2 linked regions of the Pelodiscus sinensis genome follow. The protein of the gene in region 1 binds, or shares a complex with, the protein of each later gene. Links are inferred from orthologs where the notes say so. Each region holds a gene or a part of one and is shown in the gene's direction. Other genes may lie near its edges.

Region 1 (11,615 bases):
ACCGCTTCTCCCTTATCCACAAGGCTCGTTATCTTATCAAAGAAAGCTATCAGATTAGTTTGGCATGACTTGTTCTTCACAAACCCATGCTGGCTATTCCCTATCACTTTATTACCTTCCAAGTGTTTGCATATGATTTCCTTAATTACCTGCTCCATTATCTTCCCTGGGACAGACGTTAAACTGACCGGTCTGTAGTTTCCTGGGTTGTTCTTATTCCCCTTTTTATAGATGGGCACAATATTTGCCCTTTTCCAGTCTTCTGGAATCTCCCCTGTCTGCCATGATTTTTCAAAGATCATAGCTAAAGGCTCAGATACCTCCTCTATCAGCTCCTTGAGTATCCTGGGATGCATTTCATCAGGACCTGGTGACTTGCTGACATCTAACTTTCCTAAGTGATTTTTAACTTGTTCTTTGTGTATCCTATCTTCTAAACTTACCCTCTCTCTGCTTGTATTCACTACATTGGGCACACCTCCAGACTTCTCGGTGAAGACCGAAACAAAGTCATTGAGCATCTCCGCCATTTCCAAGTTCCCTGTTACTGCTTCTCCCTCCTCACTAAGCAGTGGGCCTACCCTGTCCTTGGTCTTCCTCTTGCTTTTAATGTATTTATAAAAGGTCTTCTTGTTTCCCTTTATGCCTGTAGCTAGTTTGATCTCATTTTGTGCCTTTGCCTTTCTAATCTTGTCCCTGCATTCCCGTGTTGCTTGCCTATATTCATCCTTTGTTAGTTGTCCTAGTTTCCATTTTTATATGACTCCTTTTTTATTTTGAGATCATGCAAGATCTCCTTGTTAAGCCAAGCTGGTCTTTTGCCATATTTTCTATCTTTCCTACACAGCGGAATTGTTTGCTTTTGGGCCCTTAACAACGTCCCTTTGAAATACTTCCAACTCTCCTCAGTTGTTTTTCCCTTCAGTCTTGCTTCCCATGGGACCTTACCTACAAGTTCTCTGAGCTTATCAAAATCTGCCTTCCTGAAATCCATTACCTCAATTGTGCTGGTCTCCCTTCTACCTTTCCTTAAGATCATGAACTCTATTATTTCGTGATCACTGTCCCCTATACTGTCTTCCACTTTCAAGTTCTCAACTAGTTCCTCCCTATTTGTTAAAACCAAATCCAGAACAGCTTCTCCTCTGGTAGCTTTTTCAACCTTCTGAAACAGAAAGTTGTCTCCAATGCAGTCCAGAAACTTATTGGATAGCCTGTGCCTCGCTGTGTTAGTTTCCCAACATATGTCTGGATAGTTGAAGTCCCCCATCACCACCAAATCTTGGGCTTTGGATAGTTTTGTTAATTGTTTAAAAAAGGCCTCATCCACCTCTTCCACCTGGCTAGGTGGCCTGTAGTAGACTCCTAGCATGATATCACCCTCATTTTTTACCCCTTTTAGCTTAACCCAGAGACTCTCTACACAGCTATCTCCTACATTCATCTCCACTTCAGTCCAAGTGTGTACATTTTTAATATACAAGGCAACCCCTCCTCCCTTTTTTCCCTGTCTGTCCTTCCTGAGTAATAGTGTGCTGTGACACTTCTGTATTTTTATATCCGATTTTGTAAGAAAGCAGGTTTTTTTAGGTGAGGAGAGGTTAAAGTGACTGGGACTTTTCAGTTTAGAAAAGAGGAGACTGAGGGGGGATATGATAGAGGTCTATAAAATCATGAGTGGTGTGGAGAGGGCCGATAAAGAAAAGTTATTTATTAGTTCCCTAAATAGAAGAACTAGAGGACACCAAATGAAATTAATGGGGAGCAGGTTTAAAACTAATAAAGGAAAGTCCTTCTTCACACAGCGTGTAGTCAACCTGTGGAACTCCTTGCCAGAGGAGGCTGTGAAGGCTAGGATTATAATAGAGTTTAAAGAGAAGCTAGATAATTTCATGGAGGTTAGGTCCATAAAAGGCTATTAGCCAGGGGATAAAATGGTGTCCTTGGCCTCTGTTTATCAGAGGCTGGAGAGAGATGGCAGGAGACAAATCACTTGATCATTGTCTTCGGTCCATCCTCTCTGGGGCACCTGGTGCTGGCCACTGTCGGTAGACAGGATACTGGGCTAGATGGACCTTTGGTCTGACCCAGTACAGCTGTTCTTATGTTCTTATATGTGAGGGAAACTTGGGGCTACACAAGAAGACAAATCAAGACTCCTGAAAGGCTCTGGAAAGGTTGGGGCCACTGGCCCTATATCCTGGCCAGGGAGGATGGGGGTTGGACAGTGCTACCTGACCCTCCTGCTTGGTGGTTGAGATTGGGGGCGCTCTCACTACACTGCCAAGAAGGGGGAAAGCTAAACAAGGAGCTAAAAGGGAGAGATGCCACTAGTCTCTGTAGGCACAGAAACCCCCCCAGATCTGCCAGTCCTCCTCACTCCTTACCCACAGCCTCTTGCAACCAACCCCCCCACACCTCATGGCTGTGTCTACATTGGCGTGATCTTGTGCAAAAACTTGCTGCCTGTCTACACTGGCCGTGAGTTCTTGCTCAAGTACACTGACGTTCTAATGTATGAAATCAGTGCTTCTTGCGCAAGAACTCTGATGCTCCTGCTCAGGAATAAGCCCTCTTGCGCAACTGTTCTTGCGCAAGAGACCAGTGTAGACAGGCAACATGAATTTCTTGCACAAGAAAGCCCCATGGTTAAAATGGCCAGCAGAACTTTCTTGCGTAAGAAAGCGTCTACACTGGCATGGATGCTGTTGCGCACAAGCACATCTCTTGCACAAACGCACATGCCAGTGTAGACGCTCTCTTCTGGAAAGAGTTTTTGCACAAGAACTCTTCTGCAAAAGAGTTCTTGCGCAAGATCATGCCAGTGTAGACGTAGAATGAGTCCTAGTTCCCAGCCCCTTTGCTGCAGTACCATAACAAGGGTGGGCCGCTTGCCCTGGACACATCATAATCAGGGGCACAAAGATGCAATAAGTAAAAATAATAAGATACAAAAGTAAAGAGTGCAACATGTGCTAACCTAAGTCCCAGTTTATACGAGCCTGTCTCGAGGCCTGACAGGAAACGAAACAGTCATGCTGAAAGGCTCGCAAAGTCTCCATTTACACATTTTCTTGAGAGGCAGCAGGCTTCAGCTTGCTTCACTTTAAGCTGAATTTACACGGAGCGTTGGGCACATTGAGCCTTTACAGCATTACCAATGTTGAATACAGAAAACAGTTCACAGTGGATGCAGTGGTTTTTCAATGCACGTACATGCGAATACACTGTCAACACACTCAATGCTGCGTCAAAATATTAAAGGTATTTTGGTGCTAATGCTTGGCATAGGTATTTGATCCCCTACAACACTTTTCCATTCATAGACATTATAAAACATGTTCCTAATATTGAAAATATATTTGTTATATTACTATACTGTTGATTTAGTTGATTTTTCTTGACTTAAAGATACATAATTAGTAAACTAGAGACATTTTTTAATTTGGAGGAGAGGGGGCACATAATTAATATTTTGCCTGGGGCACAAAAATACCTAGTTATGGCACTGCTCTGTAGTGAGCACACTACCCCTCACTACCCTCCCTTTCTGAGCTGCGAGTAGAGCCCAGGAGTTCTGGCTCCCAGGGTTGGGATAGCCCCCCAGCCCTGCCTGTGTCCCCCACTCCCGGCCCGCGGCCTCCTGCTACCCCAGCCCCGAGTTCCAGGCGCCCCGCCAGCGCCCAGCTGCTCGCTCTGTTCCGAGGGGCACCCGCAGCGCTTTGGGCAGTGCGGGCTCTGCGCGTCTCCCTCGGGCCGCCAGGGGGGGCTGGAGTTCCCCACGCGGCGGACGCTCTGGCCCGGGAGTGTCCGCGCTCTACGATGCCCAGCTGCGAGGGGCGGGGCTAAGGGAAAGGGGGGAATCGCTCCCGGGTTGGGGGCGGAGGGTTCGGGGGAACCCATGAGTCCGGGAGGGGGCGTGGCCTGTCATCCCCCGTGAAGCGTGAGTCACCAGGGCCCCCCCCGGCCGGGGCAGAGGTCGAGCGAGGGGGACCCCCCCCCCGGGCTGGATCGGAGCCGGCGCCCCCTAGAGGAGCGAGGCTGCGAGTCCCGGGGCTGGGGGCGGGGGCGCTGCTCCTTGCCCAGCTCGGCTGCGGGATGGCGGCCCCACGGCGGCTGGGGCGGAAGAAGCCGGTGCCCGCCTGCCCTAACCCGCTCTTCGTGCGGTGGCTGACGGAGTGGAGGGATGAGGCTGCCGAGAAGGGCAGGAAGACCCAGTTCGTGTATGAGAGGGTGAGTCCTGGTTCCCAGACCTGCCCTCCTGCTCTGACCACTGCACATCACTCCCCTCCCTTTCCAGCTGGGACTAACGCCCAGGAATCCTGGCTCCCAGCCCCCTGCTCTATCTCGCTAGCCCCCACGGTACCCAGGAGTCCTGGCTCCTGTGCTGGGATCACACTGGGGGAGGATGAGCTGGAGGCTCCCTGTGTCAGTATCTCCTCTCTGCCAGGCCCTGAGCTCTCTTCGGAGGTACCCGCTGCCCCTGCGCAGTGGGCGTGAGGCTGCGATTCTACAGCATTTTGGGGATGGGATCTGCCGGAGGCTGGACGAGCAGCTGGAGAAGCACCGAGCTGAGGAGGGTAGGTGCAGAGCACCAGGGATGGGGTACCAGGGCTGAGGGGTCCCCAGGATGGCATGAATTGAAGGATGATGAGCAGGGGGCAGGCAGCCACACGAAGGCATAAGGTGCACCAGTGGTCCTAGATAGCAGGTTCCACTATCTTTAAGATCCTAAACAACTGTGGCAGATTTGAAATCAAATGCCAGTGCTTTGTTATTGTAGGGTCTCTCATATTAAATGGGAGGGTATTGTCTCCCCCTCCCTCCCATGGTGCCTGTCCTTGAGCCTAACAAGTGAGAGTCTGCTCCCTGGAAGGAGTCCCCCCCATGTCTCCAGCTGGAGGGTGGGGGAATGGTCTGGCTGAGGGAGGCTGGGAATAGGAGAAAGGACCTGTCCTTTAGGGGGCATAGGCTCCAATCCGGGCCCAGGGTAGGGGGACTGGCTGGTTGAGGGAGCACCTAACTTATTTCTTTTTGAACCCTAGGTGCAGAGGTGCTCTTTGAAACTGTGGGAGGGGCCAGCCCCTCCATGGGAGCACAGGAAAGTGATCCCCCCAGCACAGAGCACCACTCCCCCGATGACCCTTCTGCCTCACAGGACTCACTTGTGGACCGGGAGCCTCCCCCGATGGTGAGAGCACAGCCTCTGGCAGAAGGGCTTGGAACCAGGTCTCCTGGGATCTATCTGGCTCTGGGAAGAGAGTGGGGGGGTCTAGTGGTTAGGGAAGGGGGGTGGAGTTAGAATTCCTGGGTTCTAGCCCTGGAACTGGCTCTCTGAGATGCTGGGTAAGTCCCTGTGGGTTGCAGGGACAGGTGGGGGCTTGGAAGGACGTCGGTACAGTGAGGAGATCAGAGTGGGGACCCTGCTGATTCTCACTTCTCTTTCCAGAGGAAGCACCGTCCAGCCCGGGCGTACGTCCCAGCCCCACGCTCTGGGGGCTATGCTGTGCTGCTAGCCCTCTACAAGGACAGCATGGTAAGCCTGGAATCCTGGGTTCCATGCCCCTGTTCTGGGAGGGGAGTAGGGTCTAATGGCTAGAGCAGTGGGCTGGGAGCCGGCATCCCTGGGTTCTGTTCTTAGCACTGGGAAGGAAGTGGGGTTTGGAGCCAGGCTTCCGATGTTCTCTCTCCACTGCTGACTTCCCTGCTCCCCATTACAGAGCCCACACAGCCGGGGGTTCCTGACGAAGCCTGAGCTGCAACGGGCAGCTCAGCCGCTGTGTGACAAATCCTTCACCCTGGTGAGTGAGAGCTGCCGTGGCGTCCCCCAGCTGGCCCCTTTCAGTCCAGCACCATCAAACATTCCTCAGGAGGCTTGGAGTTGATGACAGGCACCTCTTATTGGGGGAGTGTTAGTCTTGATGAGCCATCAGTCCTGCCATAGAGATCTGAGCCCATCACTCCACCCCACCCCCTCAAGTTTCCCTACAGCCTCTACTTCCCCCAGTCTTGCCCTCCGGCTCAAGCAGGTCCCACCCAGAAGAGTCACATGGGGTATCTGTGTCTTGCAGGGTGACCCGGGAAATAGGTACACAGCTTGGGCATCGGTGGGCACCTTGATCCGCAAAGAGCTGGTGCTGAAAACCAATGTACCGGCCAGGTAGGGTGCTGTGCTGCAGGAGGCATGGTTCAGGGTTCGGGAGGGAGTGCTGGCCTTTGGAAGGGTGCTGTGCTGTGGGGAATGGGCTTCAGCAGGGAGTAGTGTGCTGCTGTGGGTTTTTGTGGGCATACCTTGGCCATTACCCAGTCTCCTGGGCGTAACCCCAGTGCCCAGAGGCCCACACCTTCCTTAAGGGCAGCTGCCAGCCAGGCAGCCTTAGTGACTCAGTGTGGGTCTCTCCTGAGCTTGCTGCAGCGACGCCAGGGTCTGTAGGGAAGCTGGGCAGCTTGGCCAGGCTGAGGGAGCATAATGTCGTCACCTGGGATCCAGTGTCGCAGGGCTCTCCAGCAGCCTGGGAAAGCCACACTTAAGAGTCCATGTTGGTAGCAGCAAATGCTTTGCCACATTCTGGTTCTCTGAGCTCCATCTTCACTCTGCCCATGCGGGCATCCTGTCTGATCACAGGAGCAACCTTCAAACCAGCCCCTTAACAGGTTGTTCCTTTGTTCCCGTGGGAGCCATTTGTCTGCCTTGCCCTTGTATCAGAGGCAGCAGCACACGGTGAGGGCACCACATGCCCCTTGCGGGGAGGGGAGAATTTGTGCGCTGCCTCCAGCCCAATCATTGCAGCTCCCTTTGCCCACCAGGGGTGCACAGCACCTAAAGGGACCTACCAGCCATTTTGAGCAGCCTTGGGCTGCAGCAGGCAAAGACTCTGTCTTGGAGTCTCACTGGGACAGGCCATGGGGTGGATCAAAAGGCCAAAGTCCTCCATTCCCTTCAGTAACTCAGCGACTAGGCACTGAAAGGTGGCAGGTTCTGTTTAGGCCAGAGGTAAATCCAGGGACTTCTAGAGTCCTGGTGAGGGGTGAAAGCACCTGGCACCCCCTTCTTGCCCTTGGTGCGGTCCATGGTGCCAAGGGGGCAAGCATCCCCTTGTCTAGAACCTCTTCCACTGGGGGCATGGGGGAAGCATCAGACACTGTGATTGCATGAGCCTTTCCCTAACCCTTTGCTGCTTGGGCTGTTGGGCAGCTGAAGCCCCCCAAGGGCAGCATGTTCCAGGTGGTGGGCAGTTTTTCCCCATGACTGAAAGGAGATGGGAAAGTTGCCTTCTGTCTCCACCTGGTGGACAGCTAGGCTGGTGCACCCTGGTCTGCTGGAGGATACCTGCCTGAAACATCACTGCTCTGTCTCCCCCTGCAAATCTTGCAGCTTATTCTACACTAGGATGAGTGTCATAAGCTGGTTCCCTAGTCTGTGTTACTGGGCATGTGCTTGCCTTCGGCCGGCCGACAGGGAAGAGAATCCGGCCTCTGGGTCCCTGTTACTTGAGCCTCACCTGTGTCCAGGCCCTGTCCCTCTTTTGGGGTGCAGCTCTTCCTGTGAGCTTAGTACCTGGATGCAGCACAGCCCCTCAGCCTGATCACCATGCAGACAGCCCCTGTCCTGAGGGGTGAGCCTTCTGGGTGCAACTCAGTGCTTGCAGGAGCCCCAAGGTGTCAGACACCTCCCAGACTCCCCTGCTGTGCTCTCTTTACCTCTTCACACCCAGCACAGAGCTCAGACCCAGCCTCCTGCCCACAGCACTAACCGCTAGCTCCGCCTTCCCTGGGGAGGCCTTGACCTGTCTGGGCTCTGACAAGGCTTCTGCCTCAAGGCTTCTCCCTCTGCTGGAACTGCTGAAAATGGCCCAAGCCTCCCAAGAGCTCAGCTCCCCCCTTTTATAACTGTCCAGCCTCCAGTGAAAGGGTCCCCTGACATCAGCTGCCCCAGGCGAGCCCGGCCCAGCCAGGTGACCTCGCTGCCCAGGCTGCTTCTGCCCCCCGTGTTCCCCATGACCCAGTTTTCCTGGGGGGCCAGTCTGTTGGCTGGAATGAGCCTGGTGCTGTTACCCCTTCGCTGCTGGCCTTGGGGATCTGCCTGCCATGGGGGCCAACAGGTGAAAGGCTGCACCTCAAGGGAGCGTCCCGCATGGGAAGGAGCCAGGCAGCGAGTGCCTGATCCTGCTCAGCGTGCCTGGATTGTACCCACGCGCTCCCAGAGGCCCAGTGGGGGGTTCAGCAGAGGGTGTTGTGCTGCCTGGAGGTCTGCTAGGGAGCAGGGCAGGGATTCAGTAGGAGTGTCGTGCTGCAGGGCCGGGGATCGGCATGAAGTGCCAGGCTGTGGGTACGGAGCGAGGGTTTAGCAGGGCGGCAGACGGGACACTGTACAGATGCCCTTTGCTCCCCGCAGGTTCTCTTTGACAGCGCAGGGGCTGGCGCTAGCCCAGAGGCTTGTGGCTGCAGAGCAGGCTCCGATTTCAGAGGATCGAGCCCCAGAATCTGAGATCTCCCAGGGTGCCCAACCCCCAGATCCTGCTGCAGAGGAGACACTATGCCTGGAGCCCCAGTTGTGAGTGCCTGCCTGAGGCGGGGTATACCCCCAGGGAGGGGGCAGGACTCCTGCAACACTGGGGCAGGACTGGAGTCTAGCAGGTCGGAGTGCAGGTGGTGGGAGTCAGAACTGCGGGGTCCTTGCTTTGGGAGGGAAGTGGGGTCTAGTGGTTGGAGCCCTCCCTCCATTCATTGTGGCTGGTTGGTCTCTCCAGACCCAGCCAAAGGGAGCGTTGCTGCTCACTGTAGCAGCGACTCCCAGCTTCCCCCAGCATGTGCTCTTGGGAGGCTGGGGGGTGGAACAGGACTTCCCTACCTTTGCTGGCCCCTCTCCATGGCTCTGCTCTCATTGTGCTGTCTGCCCCACTTTCCTGCAGGCTCGATGGCGCCCTGGGATGTCAGGAGAGGGCAGCGGGTGGCTCTGGAGTGCAGAGACCCCATGACCCTGAATTCGTACTGAGACCCGGCCAGTTTGACATCATCCTGTGTGTGGATTTCATTGAGACCATGGGGTGCGTTGGGGGCCCTGAGCTGCGGTGCTGTTGGTGTAGGGGGTGTATTGAGGGAGTGTGGTTAGGGGTCCTGAGCAGGAATGATTATGGGGTGTTCCAGGTAGGCTGGGCTGTAGGGATGAGATGTGGGGTAACGGGGGGTCACTCACAGTGTCTTGGAGGGTTGGGGCATTGCAGGGGTCCTGAGCTTGCCCCAGTCCCACCTCATCTCTCCCCTCAGAGGCCCTGGGGCTCGAAAGCAGGACCTGCTGGCTGAGCTGCGCCGCAACACCGTGCCCTTCGACGTGCGCAAGCTGCACGTGGGGGACTTTGTGTGGGTCGCCCGGGAGAAGGTCCAGCCCTGCCCAGGTAGGAGCTGCCCAGCCAGCAGCAAGGGAGCGCTCCTCAGGTGTGACTGGCCCCACCCCCCATACATGTAGTGGGGCATTACCCCAGCCCCACACATGCAGATACACGGTACTGGGGTGTGTGTCCCTGAACGTCACTTCCAAGTGGGGGGTTATGGGGGAGCAGAGCCTCATGGCACCTAGATTGCCTCATTCTGGCTACACAGGGCTGGGGTGGGGTCCTGCTCTCTCCCTCCTGAGCCCGATCTACCCCCAGGGCAGCTGCACCTGCGCCCAGTGCGGGAGCTAGTCCTGGACTACGTGGTGGAGCGGAAGCGAATGGCTGACCTGTGTGGGAGCATCATCGACGGGCGCTTCCGTGAGCAGAAGGTGTGGGGGAAGGGGGCTGCCTTGGGGGCGGGGAGCTGAGGATCGAGAAGGGGAGTTGGGGGTTGTCTGGGTGGAGGATAAGGATCTCTGGGAGAAGTCGTAGGGGTGTGGGTTGGAGACCAGGGTGGGCCTCCCTCCCCTGGTAACCTCCCTCCCTTGCCCCACCCAGTTCCGTCTGCATCGCTGCGGCCTGCGCCACCCCATCTACCTGCTGGAGGAATACGGCTCAGTCCAGCACCTGAGCCTGCCTGAGAGCACCCTGCAGCAGGCAGCCGCCAGCACCCAGGTATGGGGACTCCTGCCCAGCACCTAAGTTCCCAAGCTGTGTGGCCGTGCAGCTACCAGTTAAGCGCTGTGGCAGGGGGACAGGCCTCTCCCCAAACTCCAGCCCTGCCATGGTGCCCCAGCCCAGAGCTGCTGCAGTCTGGCAGTAGCATCCCTCCTTCAGCCTAGCCTGGCTAGAGCTCCTGTAGCTGGGGCAAGGTGCCTCTCACCTGGCCCTGAACTGCTGTGGCAGGAGAGGGCTGGGGGGGTCCTTTCTCCCCCTCAGGCACCCCGAACTTCTTACCCCCCGCCTGACCCCAGAGCCCACACCCTCAGCCATGACCCCATTGGCTCAATCCTGCCACACACCGTCCGTGTGCAGAATGAATGTGCGCCCCAGTATGGCCCTTGTCACATCCTCTCCATACTGGTGCACGTAACGATGTTCATTCCACCCATGGACATAAAAAGGGACCCCTGCTCCCATCTTCCCAGCACCTTGGTACAGCGACCTCAGCCCCCCACCCCCCGAAGCCTCCACCGAGCACCCTGCAACAAGCAGCCACCTGCATCCAGCTCTGGCCTCCCCTTCCTAGCACCCGGCTCCAGGCACCCTCCTGAGGCTGCTCCCCCCAACAGCACAGGTGAAACTCACGAACCTTCTGAACCTCGAGGAGGCTGTGAACCCACGTGCCCCATCTCCACTCCAGGCTCTCCCCACCCCCACTCCCTGCTGCTCTCTTCCTCCCTGCCCAGGTAGTAGACGGCTTCTTCGTCAAACGCACCCGTGACCTGCGGGAATCGGCCACATATCTGACCATCATGACACGTCACCTGAACAGCCTGTATGGGGTGAGCATGGGGCTGGGCGTGAGGGGCACCCCCAGCACTGGGCTTCTGAGTCAGAGGTGAGGGTCCCAAGCAGAGCTGGGGGGGAAGGATGCTCAGGGCTGCGCTAGTAGGGAGTACTGAGGGGCACCGCCAGGGCTGGGCTCTCAGGGGCGGTGTGGCAGAAGCATAGATGCCAACTCCAATTAGTGGATGCTCAGCACTTGCTGGCAGCCAAACTCCCCCCAGTGCCTCTCAGCTGCTGGGGGTGGGGGCTGAGGACCAACTTCCTCCTCTCCCTCCCACCCATCCTGAAACAGCTGTTTTGCATGTTTTGGAGGCTGGGGCAGGAGGAGACAGAGTGGGGATGGCAGGGAGGGGTCAAATCCCCTGGCTAGAGGGGGAGTCAGCAGGCATTTGGGGTAGGCTGGGTTGTTCAAGTGCTCGGTTCCTTTTCTTCTCCAGAACAAGACCCTGGTGAGCTGCACCAAGGAGGAGTCTCAGGACCGCAGCCCCCTGCAGCCCAGCAGCGACTCCTGTACCTTGATGACCTTCCAGGAGTTTAATGAGGGAGCTGTCAAGAATAAGGTGAGACTGGTCAGTGGCCGGGCCCCCCTTTCCGGCCCTAGGACAGGGAATGGGACACAGTGTCTTTTCCCCTAGCAGGCCCTGGCTGGCTGTGTCCTTTCCTTTTGTGTGGGTGTTGCCTAAGGCTGGACTACACCCTGACAGCTCCCCCTGGCTCTGCCCCCCCAGGCTC
Region 2 (11,615 bases), on another chromosome or scaffold:
ACCATCCGCCAGTCATGATACATCACCTTGTCAATCTCTTTCACTTCATTATATGTCTTGCCTAAGGAAAGATGATGAACAAGTAAACAATACTATGAACAAACTCCATAATGAGGACTATGCCACTGCATTATCTCCAATGCCTCAGCTCGGCATAGTACTGGATATTTTATGGGAGTTGTATCTACTACAGCAGTGGTCCCCAACCTTTTTGGGTGGTGGGTGCCGCGCGTGAAGCAGGCGCCCGGTGTGGGGCCGTGCATGCGCCGGGCACCTGGGGGTGGCGCTAGGCAGGCACACATAAATGCCCCAGTGGGCACCACATTGGGGACCCCTGTACTACAGTACGCACTCCCACTACAAGTTGTATAGCAGATAACACAGGCAACTGACAGAACATCTGGATTATAGTCCTGACACTGCTCTTGATCACTTGTTAGCTTGACCAAGTCATTTCGCCTCTCTTATTCAGTTTCCACAACTCTATACTTTACAGGGATGTTGGGGAGTTTAATTCATTAATATTTATAAAACACTTCAGATGGAAGAGAACCGATTTGTCGGACTCCATTTCCTTGCCAACACAGATTGTCCACTATGACAGAGTCTCTAGGGATTCCTTCAAGTTACTTTTGTAATTTAAAACGAATTGGACTTTTACTATTTTCCTTGTGAAATAATTCTACAGTGGACTAAATCAAACTGTTAGGAAGTTTTCTTTTCTTGCTTTCATTTTATTAGGTTGGGTGAGTGAAAAAGGGGAGCTACCAGTGGAGGCGGATTGCCGAGTGACAAGAAAGCCAACTTTTTCCTCCTGAATAATCCAATTATCTGTAGGAGAGAATGCAGGAAGAAGCCCAGCAGCAGAGTGGGGCAATCCTGTTTATTGCACCCAGTGTAATTATCATTACCTGCCCTATGGACGGGTGGGGCATGTGTGCATTCGGTGAAAGGAGCTCCTGGCCCTCAAAGACCACGTGCTTTGGAGGCCAGGGTGGATGAATTGGAGGAGCTAAGGAAGGCACAGAGGTACGCAGATGAGGCTTTCCATCTCTAGTCAGACAGCCCCTGTGCTGTTAAGGAGGTTGAAAGGCTCAGGGAAGGAGAACAGTCAACTGGTGCAGAGGGAAATAATCCCATAGTTGGAATCTTCCTTCCAGATGATGTTATGGTATCCTCTTGCACTGAGGATACCTCTCCAGGGGAGGGAACTTCAGTCATTAGGAAAAGGCAGGTGCTAGTAATGGGGGATTCAGTCATTAGAAACTAGGGCTTATCAAGCAATTAAAAAAATGTAATCACGATTAAATGTGCGCCTCCCCTTTGAAACGCAGCCGCGGCCTTTCAACAGGGTAGCGCTGCATGGAACCCGGGATAAGCTAGAATCCCCCGCTGAGCCCGGGCTCCTAATGTGCTGCATCTTTGAAGCGCCGGGGCAGAGTTTCCAAGGGGCAGCACAAGGCAGAGGCCGGGGTCAGCTGGAGTCCCCAGCTGATCTTGGGCTCCATGTTGCACTGCCCCTTGGAAACACCACCCCAGCGCCTCAAAGGGGCAGCACATTAGGAGCTCAGGATCAGCTGCAGTGTCCAGCTGATCCCCAGCTCCACATTGTGCTGCCCCTTTGAAGCACCAGCAGCGCCACATGGAGCCGGGGATTAGCTGGGCCCTCCAGCTGATCCCCGGTAGGGAAGTTAAAGACTAGTCGACCCCCCACCACTTCCCTTTGCTGCCTCTAGAGGCAGCAAAAGGAGGGGGGGGAGTACTTCAAAGGCAGCATTTCAAAGGGGCATCCATGGAGCCCTGGGTCAGCTGGGAACTCCCCGGAACCCGTGTGTTTCAAAGGGGCAGTGGAGCCCGGGGTCAGCTGGGAGTCCTCACTTGATCCCATGCTCCATGTTGCGCTGCCCCTTTGAAGCGCTGCAGCGGCACTTCATCACATTAATCGCAGGCATTAATGAATGTCAATTGACAGCCCTATTAGAAACAGAGAGAGCTGGGTTTGTGATGACCGGGAGAACCGTATGGTGACTTGCGAAGGTTGCGGATCTCTCGAGACATCTAGATAGACTTATATGTAGAGCTTGGGAGGAGCTGGTGGTCATGATACATGTAGGTACCAATGACAGAGAAGGGTAGGAGAGAGGTTCTAGAGGCCAAATTTAGGCTGCTAGGAAAGAGATTGAAATCCAGGAGCTGTATGGTAGCGTTCTCTGAAATGCTTCCAGTTCCACACGCAGAACCAGGTAGGCAGGCAGAGCTTCAGATGCTCAATGCGTGGATGAGATGATGGTGTAGAGAGGAAGGGTTTAGATTTATTAGGAACTGGGGAAACTTTTGGGATAGGGGGAGCCTCCACAGGAAGGATGGACTCCACCTAAACCAAAATGGAACCAGACTGCTGGCACTTAATGTTAAAAAGGTTGTAGAGCAGTTTTTAAACTAAGGGGTGGAGGAGCACATGAATCAGACAGGGGGAGGGTCTATTAATAGGGGGAGGGTCTATTAATAAAGATTCTCTATGTTCTAGTCAGGAATACAGGATGGAAGTATAGGTCAGATCAGATGAGGCAAAGAGTCTAACATAGCAGGAAATACTTAAAAAACAACAAATAACCTAGCAGCACCTTAAAGACTAACAAAAGATGTAGATGGTATCATGAGCTTTCGTGGGCATAGAAGAACCAGTGGGACCCTTGGATGATCGAGATGCTAAAGGAATACTCAAAGATTATAAAGTCATTTCAGAGAAGCTAAATTAATTCTTTGCTTCAGTCTTCATGGCTGAGGTTATTAGGAAGATCCCCAAACCTGAGCCATTCTTTTTAGGTGACAAATCTGAGGAATTATCCCAGACTGAGGTGTCAGAGAGGTTTTCGAACAAATTGATAAACTTAACAGTAACTGGGACTAAATGGCATTCACCCAAGAATTCTGAAAGAATTCAAATGTGAAATTGCAGAACTATTAACTATGGTTTGTAGGCTATCCTTTAAATTGGCTTCTGTACCTAATGACTAGAAAATAGTTAATGTGATGCCAATATTTAAAAAGGGCTCTAGCACTGATCCTGGCAATTACAGACTGGTAAATCTAACATCAGTACTGGGCAAATTAGTTGAAACTATAATAAAGAATGAAATTGCCAGACACATAGATGAACATAATTTGTTGGGAAAAAGTCAAGATGGTTTCTGTAAAGGGAAATTGTGCCTTACTAATCTACTAGAGTTCTTTGAGGGGGTCAACAAATATGTGGAGAAGGGGGATCCAGTGGATATAGTAGACTGATTTCCAGAAAGCCTTTGACAAAGTCTTTCACCAAAGTCTCTTAAGTAAAGTAAAAGTTGCTATAGAGTAAGAGGGAAGGTCCTTCTATGGACTGATAACTGGTTTAAAAGACAAGAAACAAAGGGCAGGAATAAATGATAAGTTTTCAGAGTGGAGAGAGGTAGTCCTGGGACCCATCCTATTCAACTTAGTTATAAATGATCTAGAGAAAGGGATAAACAGTGAGGTGGCAAAACGTGCAGATGATACCAAACTGCTTTAAAAAACGGTTAAAAAAAAAAAAGCTAGATAGCCATTGATGGACCTAACCTCCATGAAAGCTAGCTAGGAAGGGTAGAAAAGGTATCATGTGATAATTACCTGTTCTGTTCCCTCCCTCTGGGGTATCTGGTATTGGCCACTGTTGGCAGATAGGATACTGGGCTAAATGGACCTTGTGTCTGACCCAGTTTGGCCGTTATGTTGGCCCCTAGCCCTATACGCTAACTTTTGTCTCTAATCCTGCTTGTGAGGCATGCATCAAGCTCTATTTACCTCTGAATGTTAGGTATCCCCAGGCTTTCCCATGATCCAAGTTCTGCAAAGAAAAAACAAAACAAAAATGTGCTCAGTTCACTTAAAGAACCAATGCTATTCACAAGGAGAAACTCCTTTTATAGTCTTACTACTCATGAGCCACAAAAAGTGAGTTGATGTCAATAACTGCTAATTGTGGCTACTAGTGTTCTTCTAGAATACTGAACAAATGCCATTATACAACCTGTGCAATTAACGTTGTGATAAATAATGCAGTATAATTTGTCTGAGTACTATATACTGTCTGCTCTCAGTTCTATAATGACTCAATACAAATACAGGTCCCCCACTAAGGCCCAGATCCTTACGTACGTGCATAATCTACAGCACACACACTACTAATCAGCGTGTCTCGGGACGTTCCTGCGGTGTCTGCAGTGCTCAAGCACTATCCTAGTCTCTCTGATTTTCATTACACGGTGCCTCCTCTGAGGCAATCCGTGCTCTGGTGCTTCCCGGGCGCACACGAGAAGAGGGTCGGGAGTCTGGCTCCGGGGCCAGGCAGCGAGACTGTGAACGCTGCGGAGGCGGTTGAATCGGGCGCGACGGTGACCGGGGAGCCAGCTCCCGGGCAGGGCCGCACGCCCCGGGCCGGCGCTCACCTCGGCGGTGTAGTCCACCCGGACCCTGGTGATGAGCCAGTAGCAGGGCTCCTCGTACTGCCAGAGCCAGGCCTTGCGGGTGACCATGCGGCCCAGGCCGAAGAGCGGCCGCTGGCAGAGCAGCGCGAAGAGGCGGCTCTCGCGCCTCGCGTCCTCCCAGGCCAGCACGGGCAGGCGCTTGCCGGTGAAGGGCCGGGCCATGGTCTCGTAATCCAGGGCGAAGCGCTGCGAGTCGCGGGGCCGGCTCTTCAGCGCGCGGTACTCGCGGATCTTCCTGGCCAGGGCGGCGATCGGGCGGTGCAGCTTCTTGCGGGCCATGGCGCGGGCTGGCGGCGCGTCCCCGCCTGGATCCGACCCGGACGCTCTGCGCCGCGCGGTGCCTCCCTCGCGGGCTCGGGGCGCGGCCCCGCCTGGATCCGACCCGCCGGGCCCTGGAACCTGCCGCGCGGCGCGGGGCGGGGCCTCCCTCGCGGGCTCGGGGCGGGGCTCGGGGCGCGTCCCCGCCTGGATCCGGCCCGCCGGGCCCTGGAACCTGCCGCGCGGCGCGGGGCGGGGCCTCCCTCGCGGGCTCGGGGCGGGGCTTGGGGCGCGTCCCCGCCTGGATCCGGCCCGGACTCTCTGCGCCCCGCGGCTGCCGCCCTCGCGCGCTGGCCCGGCTCGCTCAGCGGCAGGAGCGCGCAGCCTTCGCCTCCCCGCGACACCTCCGGGTGTAGGGGCCTGCTCTGCGGAAACACTGGGATCCGATGACTCGCCAGGCCAGTTGCTTGCTTGGTAGTTGGTGAGTTTGTCAGAGCCGGTCCGGCTGGTGTGGAGTTCAGAGAGTGCTGGACTCAACGTGAAAGCTACATCCTATCGCTGAGCTGCTTGTTTGTCCTAAGCTAGATTTTACTAACCATGAAAGGAAATTCTATTTTTAATGATTCTTACTTTATTTGCAATTAAAATAAATAAAACGAACCTGAACAAAGGGTAAATATTTTAAAAATAAATGTGTACTAGTGCTTTATATATTAGAAATTGGCATGGAATATCAAGTGACTCTGCATTTTCTAAGCAGCCTTTTAAGCAACAATGGTAATTAGAAACGCAGAAGAGAAAAATAAAACCATGGAGGAAAAGTCGAAGAATCAATCCAATGGCAAAATCAACAGGTTTTTCAAAAGAGCTGCTGCCTGGGAAATTTCAGATTCTGATGCAGACAGTGATATTGAATCACATCAAACAGAAACTGTTACCCTGATGAACCCAACTGCTGACACACTGGATCATGGCATTTGTGATCATGCTGTACAAGAAGACCTGAAAAGCTGTCTGAGTGCTAGTGAGCCAGCTTCTCCTCAACAAGTAGCTACATCCTCTCCAAGCCAAAATATAATGAAGAGAATTCCAGCAGATATAAAGGCCTGTCAGGCAAGAGCAGAATCAAGGAAACTTAAAAGGGAAATCAGAAAGACAGAAAAAGAAAGGAGAAAAGCACAGGAGGTACTAGAAAAACAAAGGCGAAGGGAAGCTTTTGATACTTTGAAGCTGCTTCGACCAGACCAATGTCTGAAGTACATGACTGTCTGCATAGACCCAGGTAGACAATCTCTGAACTAGCTTTAATTTTTTTTCTAGTGTTTATTCTAAGGATCTCACTGTGCTAATACCACTTTCTACTATGAAGGTGGAGATTAATTTAAACTGGGAGGCACTGCTCTCTCATGGCACGTCTACATTACAAAATTAGGCCAAATGTATTGAAGTCAACTTTTAGCATTTGATTTTACAAAGTCGAAGGTGCATGTCCTCAGTAGGCAAATGAAGTCAACAGAATGCAACCCCACTACCAAAGCTACCTTCAGCCATACTAGCAATACACTGTGGGTAGCTATTCCACCGGTTCTGCAGCCCATTTGAATTAGGTGCCCAATGCCTGATGGGACAAAAATATTGTCATGAATGGTTCTGTGTACGTCAGCCTCCCACAATGTATTTCTCTCCTTCCTCCCTGTTTAAAAGAACAGTGCACTACTAGTTAAGCTAACAGAGTAACTGATTCCAGGAGAAGGCTGTATCTTCAGTTGGACTTGCCAGTAGAGGGGGATGGAGATCCACTTTGCTGGTGGGTTTTACAGCTATTTTCCGGACAATAGAGGAATGCTGAGATTCAGGAATAATAGGTTCAGTTGCAGGCTTTGTAAGAGAGCATTCTCTAGTGGTTATATTTTATTGGTAACTCTTCTGTCTGGGTCTTCTCCAACTTTTCTGTTAACCCTCCCCAACTCAAGCCCCTTTCACCTCCTGATGCTATTCTTTCTAGTTCCTGCCTGTTTTCCTCCCAGTTTCGGCCAATATCCCCTATATGCCTATCTTCCCCTCCTACTCTGCTCCTGCCTCTGTCCCCTCTCTTTTTTCTCTCCCCTCTGCATTAGAGTCAAGTGGGTTCCTCTCCCTCCTTTTTGCTGGCTGCCAGCAGGGGAAACAAAGCTTAGTTCCTATGGCACAGTGTCCCACAACAGTTGCAGGTCAGCAACAGACAAAAGGCAGCATGCTCAGTTGTTCCACAATGATGGCATGTGCGTAGGTCATTGGCATGTAGGAGCAGTGAGGAGATGAAGCATGCTCAAGGCAGATGGAATCTTTGGACATTCTTAGGTGCTAAACACAGGCAAGTCTCTCCTGAACATGTGCTAATTGTGACTTTTTTGGAGGTTTATGACTTGGGCAGATTAGGTGAATTTTCACAGGATAACAAAAGGCATGTCCATCCCTGACACGTAGAGTAACTCTCTTACAAAATTTCAAGTCCCTGTGATGAAGGATGAGGACATACAAGCATCCCAATTAAAATGGTTATAGGAACATTTCTAACATGGGTAAACAATGCATTTTTCCTAGTTTTGTTCTTGGAAGTGTCTAAACTATTTTTGCTGAAACTTCCCATTATAAAGTCAGTTTGAGACAGACTCCAGAGGTGGAAAATTTCATCTCCGTATGCTTTAAGATTGGCAAAGTTACAAACAACTGTAAATAGGGTCTTTTAACAGGAAGAGTAAGGCAAAATTAATTGTAAGTGCCCCTGCATGTGCTGGTTGTAATAAACTGTGTGCTGCAAATTTCTCTATGAGATAATGCGGTGATATGCAGCATACTGCTCTATTCAGTATTCAAGCTTGAAATAATCATAAGAACAGCCATCCTCGGTCTATCTAGCCCAGTACCCTGTCTTCTGACAGTGGCCAGGGCCAGGTTCCCCAGAGGTAATGAACAGAACCGGTAACCATTACGTGATCCAACCTCTGTTGCCCATTTCCAGCTTCTGGTCAGCAGTGGCCAAGGACACCATCCTAGCTAATAATTATTGATGGACCTATCCTCAGTGAATATATCGCATTTTTTTTAAATCCTGTGACAGACCTTCACTACATTATCTGGCAAATAGTTCCACAGGTTGACTGTGGATTGTGTGAAGAAATGCTTCCTTTTGTTTGTTCCAAACTCTGCTCTAGTAATTTCATTTGGTGACCCCTAGTTCTTGTATTATGAAAAGGAGCAAACAATACTCCCTTATTTACTTTCTTCATATTCAGTCAGGATTTTACAACAATCATTTCCTCTGTGTGGCTTTTAGTTACTGTTTATTACCACTCCCTTTCCTTCTCTGAGGTCACTGCCTTGGCAGTGGAGCCAAGGCAGGCCCACCCCTGCTCTGGCCCCACAACCACCCCCAGAAGCAGTGGCTCCATGTGCTGTCCTCCCGTCCACAGGCACCAGCCCCACAGCCTCCACTGGCTACAGCTCTCCATTATTGATCAATGGGAGCTGCTGGAGTGGTGTCCACAGGCAAGGACAGCATGTGGGTAGAGACCCCCTTCTCTGACCTCCTCAGGGGCTCTCTTTCCCCTCAGGTCTATTAGAAGATCCTGGGTCAGATGCTTTGATGAAGGCTTTTGATTCCTTGGAATGTAACTACTACATTGAGCCTCAGGAAGTGCCCTGCAGCATAACCTGGAGGCGAAACACTCCTAACGGTTTCTCCAGTGTTGTAAGTATCTGAATCCAATCTGTCCTCACTCTCTGGAGGGCTTCCTCATCTGCTTTATACTTTTAAACTGATAACAGCTATGCTGTGGGAAAGGAGCTTTGAATTGCATTAATTATTAGTGCGGGCATTTCCACTTGTCTTTCTGGGCGGGGCTACGGGGTCATCAGTCTCAGGTCACTGGTAGCTCAGGGAATGGACTTGAGTCTCATTGACCTATAGTTTATTTCTGAGTGAGTGACTTTCATGCAACTGGTTGTCATTTTCTCAAACACATACACATCCAGGAAGGACTGTGAATGTCTGCAGCCAAAAGGATGGAGGTCAGGGGAGCCATTGATCATGGAGAGGTTTCAGATAACTAGTTGAAAAAGATTTCTAAAAAGAATTCTGTGTCTGCGAGGCGTCCTTGATGGCCAATGATGATTTGAACTGCACCACTGGGGAAAACAGTAGGCTCCCTTGCTACTAAAGGAAGCCCGTGAGCTCTTTAGAAAATCCTGTGGCTGTTTCTGAATGCAGGCTGTTGGAAATCCTAAGGAGTGAAGTTACCTTCTGTTTGATGCCAAATGAGGAATGTTGCAGATAAACTGCAATGGTCAGTGCAGCACCATTGTTTATTCCCATGTCCATTACAAGGATTTCAGGTTGCTGAGTTGAGAGCAATCCTGTACTTTGATGACTGGTTGTCTGAGTAACCCTTTAAATGTTCAGAAGCTTCAGGGGGTAGCCAAGTTAGTCTGTACAGTGTACAAGATACATTTTAAAAAATGGTCTGGTAGCACTTTATAGACTAACAAAGCATGTAGATGGGATCATGAGCTTTTGTGGGCACTGCCCACTTCTTCAGATGACCAGAGTTTTAAATGTTTTGGGGTATAAGAGCTGGCTGGTGCTGTAACTTAGTGTTTCTCAAACTTTTTTTTATACAAAAATTTTTATACCCCTTTTTCAAAAAAAATAATTATGAGTAGTCCCTTTAAAAAAATACACACACACACACACACACTCAGACACACACATTTTTTTTCTACCATTGCAACACATTTGTTTAAATAACTTAATTGTAGCTGGGCAGGCGATGATATTTTTGGGTGTAAAAAGTACAAAAATAATAAAGCGCTGTAAAACTTAAAACAAAAATTAAGTTTTCTCCAAATTTCAGTTGTGTTAACGTACCCCCCCCCCCCGACTTCTCTTGCGTACCCTTAAGGGTACTCATACCACTGGTTGAGAAGCACTGCTGTAACTCACTGATATGGTGTGCAGTGCAGATGTAGTGTGAATCTTTTGCTTACTTTCTCCCCTTGATGGGGTCTTCCCCTTTCTGAATATCTCCAATGAACTAAATTAGGTGATAACACAGGCTGCAGTACAGCCAAGTCCAGTTTGAACATCTCTATCTAGGTTGATGAATTTTGTAGGTGTCCTGCTCTGTTCTCTGCACCCTCAGTGCTCTGTATTTATGTTATCTGCCTTTTACAGGTCTAACTTCAGCCATTACGTCATTCCATTCCAGATGGTATAACTGGGCTGAGACCTGGCAACTTAATTTCATTTTGGGCATGCTTGGTTTCAAGAAATGAAAAGTGATTGCCTAGATCCTATCAGAAGTTGTTTCTGTTCCCCTAGGATGATACCCTGGTGAAGTCCGAAGAGGAAAATGAGGTGGTGCTGCTGGTAGATCCAAGGGACTTTCTCAAACGTCTTTTGTCTGTAACTCAGGTAGAGTACATTTTCAAATCTGGGTCTAAAGAGAAGTCTGGGGAAAGCTGCCTTTTAACAGTAACACAAGTGGAAGGGAGTTATTCTAGAGTTATATTACAGAATGCACAAATGTGAATAGAGAGCTGTGGAGTAGAATATACAAAGCCTGTCTGAGCATAGTGCATCTTATTGAGCAGAGCAGTGGAAGTTCTGACAGACTGTTGCTTTAGCCAAATCCATCACTTTGTATGTGTTAGTGTTTGCATACTCAGAGCCATGCTTCAAATATTTGCACAAAGGAAACTTTCAAAGCACACAATTTGAGAAGCATAATCTTTGGAAACAAAAGAGATGTGCAACTAGTTATTGATAAGAACATGTAAGAACAGCCACACTGGGTCAGACAAAAGGTCCATCTAACCCAGTATCCTGTCTTCCAACAGTGGCCAATGCCAGATGCCTCAGCGGGAATGAATATAACAGGTGATCATCAAGTGATCTCTTCCCAGTCACTCATTCCCAGCTTATGACAAACAGGTTACAGACACCATTCCTACCCATCCTGGCTAATAAGCATTGATGGACCTATCTGTGAATTTATCTACCTCTTTTCTGAACTCTGTTAAAGTCCTGGCCTTCACAGCATCCTCTGGCAAGGAGTTCCACAGGTTGACTGTGTGTTTTGTGAATAAATACTTCCTTTTGTTTGTTATAAATCTGCTACCTATGAATTTTATTTGGTGACCCCTAGTTCTTCTGTTATGGGAACAAGTAAATAAGTTTTCCTTATTTACTTTCTCCACACTGATCATGATTTTATAGATTTCTATCATAATCCCAGTTAGTTTCTCTTTTCTCAGATGAAAAGTCCCAGTTTTATTAATCTGTCCTCATATGGCAGCCATTCCAAAATCCTAATAATTTTAGTTGCCCTTTTCTGAACTTTTTCCAATGCCGAGATTATCTTTTTTGCGATGAGGCGACCACATCTGCATGCAGTATTCACGATGTGTGTGTATCATGGATTTACACTGAGACAGTAAGATATTCTCTGTCTTATTCGCTAACTCTTTTTAATGATTCTTAGCATTCTCTTTGCTTTTTTGACTGCTGCTGCACATCGAGTGGATGTTTTCAGAGAATTATCCACAATGACTCCAAGATTTCTCTCTTAAGTAGTTATAGCTAAATTAGTCCCCATCATTTTGTATGTATAGCTGGGATTATTTTTTTCCAATGTACATTACTTTGCATTTATCAATGTTAAAATTAATCTGCCATTTTGTTGCCCAGTCACCTAGTGAAAAGCCCCATGTGGCCTTTTATTTCTATAGTCCCAAGAAAATAAGGCCCCTACCCTGGGGCGTTAACAATCACATTCAGGCAGGTGCTATAGAAAACTGAACGCTGGAACAGAC

What was found.
Region 2: the proteins of MUS81 (region 1) and EME2 are in contact, whole or in part, in a crystal structure (PDB 7F6L), measured with the Homo sapiens proteins. The link is inferred for Pelodiscus sinensis from reciprocal best matches to the Homo sapiens genes MUS81 and EME2. Residues at the interface, in NP_079404.3 of Homo sapiens: His330, Glu351, Phe354, Lys357, Arg358, Arg363, Val365, Glu381, Leu385, Gln386, Thr389, Asn390, Gln392, Val393, Ile394, Phe398, Lys400, Arg401, Tyr411, Leu414, Leu415, Arg417, Gly418, Leu419, Arg421, Leu422, Pro447, Ile464, Lys467, Ala468; in NP_001244299.1 of Homo sapiens: Glu140, Arg177, His179, Glu220, Glu221, Val224, Leu225, Gln227, Leu228, Trp229, Asn231, Leu232, Asp233, Leu235, Arg245, His246, Ala249, Val250, Lys252, Ala253, Leu254, Gln256, Tyr257, Lys260, Gln261, Glu264, Gln266, Phe268, Phe270, Cys271.

Annotation. Positions count from the first base shown.
Region 1 is NC_134721.1:32,558,096-32,569,710, reverse strand, and holds the start of MUS81 (structure-specific endonuclease subunit MUS81), read left to right. Parts: upstream 1-3,850; 5' UTR 3,851-4,098; coding exon 4,099-4,233; intron 4,234-4,450; coding exon 4,451-4,580; intron 4,581-5,045; coding exon 5,046-5,191; intron 5,192-5,449; coding exon 5,450-5,536; intron 5,537-5,720; coding exon 5,721-5,801; intron 5,802-6,071; coding exon 6,072-6,160; intron 6,161-8,395; coding exon 8,396-8,554; intron 8,555-8,912; coding exon 8,913-9,047; intron 9,048-9,267; coding exon 9,268-9,395; intron 9,396-9,650; coding exon 9,651-9,763; intron 9,764-9,932; coding exon 9,933-10,049; intron 10,050-10,783; coding exon 10,784-10,879; intron 10,880-11,320; coding exon 11,321-11,443; intron 11,444-11,611; coding exon 11,612-11,615. UniProt on the Homo sapiens protein: Catalytic subunit of two functionally distinct, structure-specific, heterodimeric DNA endonucleases MUS81-EME1 and MUS81-EME2 that are involved in the maintenance of genome stability.
Region 2 is NC_134726.1:459,447-471,061, reverse strand, and holds the start of EME2 (structure-specific endonuclease subunit EME2), read left to right. Parts: upstream 1-5,069; 5' UTR 5,070-5,244; exon of another isoform or gene 5,245-5,523; 5' UTR 5,524-5,537; coding exon 5,538-6,045; intron 6,046-8,356; coding exon 8,357-8,493; intron 8,494-10,122; coding exon 10,123-10,215; intron 10,216-11,615. Other genes in the region: MRPS34 (small ribosomal subunit protein mS34), read right to left, coding at 1-61, 3,823-3,865, 4,467-4,784. UniProt on the Homo sapiens protein: Non-catalytic subunit of the structure-specific, heterodimeric DNA endonuclease MUS81-EME2 which is involved in the maintenance of genome stability. In the complex, EME2 is required for DNA cleavage, participating in DNA recognition and bending.